Linked DNA regions of Tribolium castaneum. The protein of the gene in region 2 binds, or shares a complex with, the protein of the main gene of each other region. Links are inferred from orthologs where the notes say so. Each region holds a gene or a part of one and is shown on either strand. Other genes may lie near its edges.

Region 1 (3,534 bases), on a different chromosome or scaffold from region 2:
TATTTTATCAATGTAAAATGGGGAATTTTTTCAAATGAATTAATCAACATTTTTATACTCATGACACGATTTTTCTTATTGATTGAACTGCTAATAGCGTAATACGAAACGATTTATTGTGATTGATTATCTAGTCTTGTTTTGTTGTTGTTTTTCGTGTGTTGTTTGTTATTGGTTTGTATGAGTTTGAGAAAGTTGCACAAAAAAGTGTGTACATTTTGGCCAGTTTGTGCAATAGAAATGTAAATAAATAAAATTCATTTCTTTAGGTTCGTAAGACTGTAATGACTAAATTGATGTTTAGGGCAATTGAATACATTATTTTTTAAAAGCTGTGTCCTTTATTTCAATCAAAAAACAACAAAATCAACATAAACGATGAAAAGGTTGCGAATATGACTTTCTCCACTGTTGGTTTAGTACCATTTTTTAAGGGGATGATTAAACGTTCAAACGTAGAAATTTCACAGAAGAGACGCCACCACAAAACCTACTGACTGCGCCAATTAAGCTTTATTACGCCTGGTTTAAATAAAACCCAAACTCATTGTATATTATTTTATTGTAAAACAACGTAACAAAACAGTTCAAGGATTAGAATTCGCCTCCTTGGCGTTCTGCAACGCTTGCGTAATATACAACTTAGCCAAACTCTGCGAGCACAACTGGGAAATGGCCTGACTATACGTATTAATCTGTCCCGCGATAATCATCGGGTTCAGCCTCGGGGGCACCGGATGTGGCCTAAACAGCTTATTAATGTCCTCTTCGGGCAATGGGGGCTCGTCTTTCGCGGCCCTAGCCGCATTTTCCTGCGCCCTCTTTTGCAAATATCTGTGTTTGTCTTGCTGTTGCCGGCTGACCAACTGTTGGTATCTATTAAACTTGATCGCTTCTTGGTTGAGTTCGTCAACTCGGTCCATGAGGCAGCGCAATTGCCCCTCGAGGACGGAGGCGGTTCCCAAATCTAAAAATTTCGAGCCTTCTTCTTCCGGGACAAGTTCTTGCAATTCGGACATCATGATGTTGGTCAAGGCGGAGTTTTTAATAACGAAGGGGACCTCGATGAAGAGGTTCTCGTATCCGACTTTGAGCTTCAAGAGGGCCTCGGGCGTGAATTCGCCCTCCTTGTACATCTCAATGGCTTGAGGCGTCAAACGGTAGGCTTTAAGTGTGAGGAACCCGCGCGAGGATTTTTGAGTGTCGTAAATCACAACGACGGATTCCTCGATTGAGGTTTGGTAGTGGAATTGCGATTCGAGAAGAGGGAGGCTGAGGAAGTTCCCGACGTCGGCGCTTTGGTACCACCCCACATGGAAGTGGTCGACGTTGACGCGTCGCAGGCGCCGCATCATCGCTAGCTGGTACTCGTCCTCGTCCATTGTCTCGTCGGTTTGTTTCGGGAATGGGAAACAATTCGTGATTTCCAGCCGGTTTTCAACGACAAGGCCGAGAAGGGCCCCCTGGGCTATGTCCATGTTAGTGGTCGATTCCTCATGGCAGTGTTTTACGATCTTCATGACGGCCTGAAAGAGGTTAGGTTCCGTATGTTAGGTATTAATTACTAACTGAGGTAGCCAAAGTGTGACTTTTGGGTTTAAATAAACTGAAGGGATATTTACCAAGCCGTCGGCTTGCACGTAAGCAATCGTCGAGTCATTTTCAGGCACACGCCTCGAAGCAGCCCCACGAGACGCCATTTTAAACTGCCAAAAATACCTGCCAATGTAGCGCAAACAAAAACTCCACAATTGCTACAAAAACACAATTTTCGTAAAAATTGCCAGCCGATAATGGCCTTATTTAACGATTACGTTGTTTGTTACCAAATTTTGTAGCAGCTAACACAATCTCGTGTTTTTTGGACGTGAAATAATTATTATATTAGTGTTTTAGGCTGATCTAGTCGGTGTCTAAATTCCCCTACGTTTCCACCAGTCCCACCTGTCATTGGAAATTTATCAGCTGACGAGAGCATTAGAAAGCAAAATAAATGGCTGGTTTAAGACAAATATCATGTTTTTGGTATTTAGTGGTGTTTGCGGGGCTGTGTTTTCTCGAATCAAACGGTAACGTAGCAGCTGAAGACGTCCTCCCGTCGAAGCTAAGTCAAAATGTTGGGGCCCCAACCTTAAAATTTTTGTATTGGTATGTTCCCCTAGCCCCAATATCATAATCTAATTATTTAATTTAGTTATTCGTGTGGTTACCGGAAAACGTTCGAGCAGTACGTAAAAATCGTTGGGGACAAATACCCTTTTATAGCCGTTGATGGCCAAAATTACGACCCCCCAGGCTTGAACATGTATTTGGCCAGACTTATTGTAAGTATGATATAATGAGTGAAAGTTGATGATTATGCGTTTTCAGGGCATCGTTAAAATGGTGATAATCGTGTGTATTTTGGGGGCTATTAACATATTTGAATACATTAACCAACCACAGCCTTCATGGTGGATTTGGTGCACAGAAAACAAGCTTTATGCTTGCATGATGCTGTTCTTTGTGTGTAATATTATCGAAGGACAGTTGATTCAATCGGGGGCTTTTGAAATCTCACTGAATGACGTTCCTGTTTGGTCCAAACTGGAGACGGGCAGGATACCACAACCTGCAGAGCTTTTCCAAATCATCGATAATCATATGCAGTTCACTGACAGCAAAATTGAACTGAGCAACGGATTCCCGAAGTAAAGTTACTATAAATTTCGAAAATGATTGTTTTGTTATCAGATTGTTCTTTTTTAAATTTGTTGTGAGTCTGGTAGTGTCATTCTATAATTTTTTGTCTGGTCACTATCACACAGCGTTCAGTATGTTTGAATGTATGATTTATAAATAACTAGATTTGTGATAAGTAAAAGTTGTACATAAAGAAATTGTCTTCTTATTTGATACCTAATAAAACCCAAAAACTCATCGTTTTTATGATTTATTCATTTGTTACATTACAAAATCATTTGGCAGTGTTTAATAGAAAGGCACATAAAATATGAATCACATTTTCCTGTCGTAAGCCTTAAAACTAATTAGCACCTTTGAGATAAAAAAGATCAAAAACAAGCAAGAATTCAAGTATTAAAAAAATAAATTCTATACAAAGAGCCACTGTCGTAATCGCTTAAATAAAATTAAGAACCTAAATCCTTACAAGTAAAAAATATTCTAATAGGATTTGTGTTTGAACACGGCGTACGTTCCTTCTCAAGGACAAATGTTAACATCAAATCTATGTTACAATTAATTTACACATAATTACAAAGTTAATAACTGTTATGGCACGTCGATCACGGCGTATTTTGCGGTCTCCTGTGTCTCAATCTCTGCCTCAAACGCCTCCTCCTATTCTCTTCCAAGTTCCTGTAACTTCCTGGTGGATAGCCTGGGGGCCGATACGGGGTCCCGTATGTGGGTCTTGTGATTCGACTAGGGGTGACAATTGCAGTGCGACTGGTGTACCGTCTGCGGATGCAAACGGCGCATCTGCTGACTCTTGAGGTCAAATAGCCGGCTTTGAGAGTCTCCGAACGCGGT
Region 2 (4,578 bases):
CAATCAAGACAGCGGAATTTTTAATTTGGTGTTTTATTTGAATTTTTCAAGAATGGTTATTTTTGGCAGACTCTCACAAGAAAACCAAAAATAATATCTTTCCAAATATTTAATATGTTATAGAGGAAGGTCTTCTGAAGCTGTTTTATAAAAAAGAAGTTCATTGTTCTGTGTTATCCAATCAAGACAGCGGAATTTTTAACTTGGTGTTTTATTTGAATTTTTCAAGAATGGTTATTTTTGACAGACTCTAACAAGAAAACCAAAAATAATATCTTTTCAAATTTTTAATATGTTAGAGAAGAAGGTCTTCTGAAGCTGTTTTACAAAAAAGAAGTTCATTGCTCGATGTTATCCAATCAAGACAGCGGAATTTTTAACTTTGAGTTTTATTTGAATTTTTCAAGAATGGTTATTTTTGACAGACTCTCACAAGAAAACCAAAAATAATATCTTTCCAAATATTTAATATGTTATAGAGGAAGATCTTCTGAAGCTGTTTTATAAAAAAGAAGTTCATTGCTCGATGTTATCCAATCAAGACAGCGGAATTTTTAACTTGGTGTTTTATTTGAATTTTTCAAGAATGGTTATTTTTGACAGACTCTAACAAGAAAACCAAAAATAATATCTTTCCAAATTTTTTATATGTTATAGAAGAAGGTCTTCTGAAGCTGTTTTATAAAAAAGAAGTTCACTGCTCTATGTTATCCAATCAACACAGCGGAATTTTTAACTTTGTGTTTTATTAGAATTTTTCAAGAATGGTTATTTTTGGCAGACTCTAACAAGAAAACCAAAAATAATATCTTTCCAGATTTTTAATATGTTATAGAAAAAGGTCTTCTGAAGTTGTTTAATAAAAAAGATGTTCATTGCTCTATGTTATCCAATCAAGACAGCGGAATTTTTAACTTGGTGTTTTATTTGAATTTTTCAAGAATGGTTATTTTTGGAAGACTCTCACAAGAAAACCAAAAATAATATCTTTCCATATTTTTAATATGTTATAGAAGAAGGTCTTCTGAAGTTGTTTTATAAAAAAGAAGTTCATTGCTTTATGTTATCCAATCAAGACAGCGGGATTTTTAACTTTGTGTTTTATTTGAATTTTTCAAGAATGGTTATTTTTGGAAGACTCTCACAAGAAAACTAAAAATAATATCTTTCCAAATTTTTAATATGTTATAAAAGAAGGTTTTCTGAAACTGTTTTATAAAAAAGTTTTATAAAAAAGAAGTTCATTGTTCATAATATCTTTCCAGATTTTTAATATGTTATAGAAAAAGGTCTTCTGAAGTTGTTTTATAAAAAAGAAGTTCATTGCTTTATGTTATCCAATCAAGACAGCGGGATTTTTAACTTTGTGTTTTATTTGATTTTTTCAAGAATGTTTATTTTCGACAGACTCTAACAAGAAAACCAAAAATAATATCTTTCCAGATTTTTAATATGTTATAGAGGAAGGTCTTCTGAAGCTGTTTTATAAAAAAGAAGTTCATTGCTCTGTGTTATCCAATCAAGACAGCGGAATTTTTTACTTTGTTTTATTGATTTTTTCAAGAATGTTTATTTTTGACAGACTCTAACAAGAAAATCATAAATAATATCTTTCCAAATTTTTAATATGTCATAGAAGAAGGTCTTATTAAGCTTTTTTATAAAAAAAAAGTTCATTGTACTGTGTTATCTAATCAAGACAGCCGAATAACAAAAGAAAAGAGGTCATTCCTCATTTTTTTTAATAGAAAAACATTTAAAGTACTGATACTTACGCTCGGAATTGCGATTCCCCCCTTCACAAACTCCCACTCCCCTTCCCCATCCTCCTCATCCTCCTTCTTCACCTTCCGCCTCTCCTTCTCCTTACGTTCCTTCCTCCTTTCCTCCTTCCTCCGATCGCGTTCTTCATCATCTTCATGCGCCGGCCCAGTTTTCTTCAAAAACCGCTCCCTCATAGTCCCTTTCCCTTCATCTTCATCAAAACTATCCGAACTCGAGTCACTATCACTAGGCCAATCGTCCGAATCAGACGACCCTTCATCATCAACAATCTGTTTGGAAATTTTAGCCACAGCTTTGGCCGGCGCTTCAGTTTGAGTGTCTGGCTCAGGCTCGTGTTTCTCTTCCTCTTCTTCATCGTCCGGCTGGTCGGGGTTTTCCCTAAACTTGGCAATATCCTCCTCGAAATCTTTGATGTACTTGCGCAACTTCTGGCGCATTGAAGCCAAAGACTTGCTGTTGTTTTTGCTCATGTTTTTGCGTCCGTCGCGATCTTCCCACATTTCGTTGATGAAATCTTCCATTTCGACCAAACAACGGGTGAAGAAACGGGGCGTTTGCCCCGATTCTTCTTTCGCGATCACTGGGAGCGCTTTAACGTAGGCCTTCTGAAGGTCTTCAAAACTGGTCAACATGCTGCTCATGTCTTTGATTTTTTTGTAATTGCGGATTTGTTTGATAATGTTAGTGAGTTCCTCGTAACGCTTCTCTTTGGCGGAGCGAACCACACGTTTGACCTCCTCTTCATCGTCGCTAAACTAGAAGGGGGCCATTAAAAAAATGTTAAGCTACATGGGGGCTCACTTACGGTGAAAACGGGCGCTGGCGCGCGCTGAATTGGCTCTTCCTCGGAGGAGCTGTCGGAGTCTGAGTCCGAACCGGCGAAAAAACGACTCATTTTTTTACCTACAAAGTGACATAACCTCAAAAAAATTACGTGAAATAACGCAATAACTAGGCGTTAAATTGGCGTTAGGTAACGGTTTTTCGCTTCTTTGGGCCAAATGAAGACCGAAAACTTAATTTAAGACTACTTTAAAGCTAGTTACTGGGGCCCATGTGGTTCATGTTTGGAGACGGAACTCCCCAAAATTATAGTTAGAAATGTCGGAACCACAATTTTAAGGTAAAATACACGTGAAAGAGGCAAAACTTACGTGTTTAAAGCCTTTTTTTCACTTAACAGATTTTCCGACACGATTGTAACCACAAAATGGCCAAAAACTTGTGCCAACTGTCAAAATCGGGACTTTTTTGTCTTGTGATTGGTAGTGTTATGGTAATATCGTAAAAAAAGGGCAAATTAATTTGTTTTTGGGCACGAAAGGGCCCTTAAGTCGAGAGCCAGGGTTAGGTGGTGGTATTTAGGTTCAAGTTGTGTCAAAAGTAAGGATTCTACGGTTAAGATACCAAAGACGTACAAATGAAACGCTCGCGTTTTCGGTAGTTCCTTTATTGTCACCAGAGAGCGCACTTGTTCCATTAGCAGATAGCAAAGAAAAAATACAGGCACATAGAGCATTAAACTCTCGATAGTAAGACAAAAAAGTAAGGAACAAAGTTGTAGAAAATCAAATTTCCAATATATATTTTTTATTTAAATTAACTTATTTATCTCCTAAATACACAACAAAATTATTTCTTCTTGATAATGCTTTGGATTTTTTGCCACTCCCTGTCCAAATGCGCCTTTTCGTTCTTATCCTTATGCTTCCTGGACCTGCGCCCATCTGCCATTTTAAGGCCGTACTGGAAGGCTGCTTTCGGCAAAGCCTCCTTCTGGTTCATATAATCGGAATACTCCTCAGCTGTGTCAAAGTCCCAGCGTCCAATCGGCCCCTTTTTATTCCCCAAGTCCATCTTAGAATAATCAACCTCATCATCAGAATCATCAATCGCATCGTTCATTTCCTCCAATCCGGGATAACACTCAGCATATCCCTCAGGCTCTTGAGCCAGTTTATTAAGGATTTGTGCCGATTTACTGACTTTGAAAGTCGGTCCGCTATTTTCAAGCGCTTCCTCTTGTTTATCAAAGTACGTGTGTTTGTTATGGTCACGTGACGAGTTTCCATGTTTACCACTTCTTGTGGGTACGTAATCACCAATATCTCCATAGATGGAGTCATCACCGGTTGTACGTTTTGTTGTTTTTTTCGGTTCGGGTTCTTCCGGTTGTTCGTTTTCGCGACTTTCGGGGAGTCCCCGTTTGGTTTTTTTGTTCTTTCGGTTGCCTTGGCGCAAGTAACTTAAAATTTGGGTTAATTTATTTATGACAATGTCGTTGGTTGTGAGGGTTGTGGTGAGTTCAAATGACGGAACGTCGGCGATTGAACGGATTAAAGTTGTTGGAATGTCTGATTCAGCCTCATCGTCTGAAATAAAATTTTAATAGTCATGTTGGTATTAAATTAATAGGAATTTTAACATTAAAATTCATGTAAAAATTTTTAAAAAAGAATCACAAAAACCTTTAAAAAATCCAAAAAGAAGTACAGAAACAATGCTAGAAAATAAATAAGAGCAATTCTAAAAGAAACTAGAGAAGAATTTTTATAAGCGAGAGAGGAGAATATAAAAAAAATTGCGGATTTAAGATCTAAAGAAGTCTTTAGGAGATAATCATAAAAATCTTTAAAAAAATCTAAAAGACAGTAAAAAAACAATGCTAAAAAATGAACAAGAAGAATTCTAAAAGAAACTAGACAAGAATTTTTATAAGCGAGAGAAGAGAATCTAAAGGAAAATTTTGCTGATTTAAAATCTAAAGACCTCTTTAGGAAAGAATCACAAAAA

The links.
Region 1: eIF3c (region 2) and eIF3h share a complex: the UniProt entries of both Drosophila melanogaster proteins name them as parts of the eukaryotic translation initiation factor 3 (eIF-3) complex. The link is inferred for Tribolium castaneum from reciprocal best matches to the Drosophila melanogaster genes eIF3c and eIF3h.

Annotation. Positions count from the first base shown.
Region 1 is NC_087398.1:6,460,913-6,464,446, forward strand, and holds eIF3h (eukaryotic translation initiation factor 3 subunit H), read right to left. Parts: upstream 1,851-3,534; 5' UTR 1,701-1,850; coding exon 1,623-1,700; intron 1,527-1,622; coding exon 588-1,526; 3' UTR 545-587; downstream 1-544. Other genes in the region: SelT (thioredoxin reductase-like selenoprotein T homolog CG3887), read left to right, coding at 1,994-2,148, 2,195-2,324, 2,371-2,694; vkg (collagen alpha-2(IV) chain), read right to left, coding at 3,288-3,534. UniProt on the Drosophila melanogaster protein: Component of the eukaryotic translation initiation factor 3 (eIF-3) complex, which is involved in protein synthesis of a specialized repertoire of mRNAs and, together with other initiation factors, stimulates binding of mRNA and methionyl-tRNAi to the 40S ribosome.
Region 2 is NC_087401.1:16,334,018-16,338,595, forward strand, and holds the start of eIF3c (eukaryotic translation initiation factor 3 subunit C), read right to left. Parts: upstream 3,068-4,578; 5' UTR 2,936-3,067; intron 2,689-2,935; exon of another isoform or gene 2,686-2,688; 5' UTR 2,681-2,685; coding exon 2,591-2,680; intron 2,541-2,590; coding exon 1,776-2,540; intron 1-1,775. Other genes in the region: beag (protein Red), read right to left, coding at 3,418-4,157. UniProt on the Drosophila melanogaster protein: Component of the eukaryotic translation initiation factor 3 (eIF-3) complex, which is involved in protein synthesis of a specialized repertoire of mRNAs and, together with other initiation factors, stimulates binding of mRNA and methionyl-tRNAi to the 40S ribosome.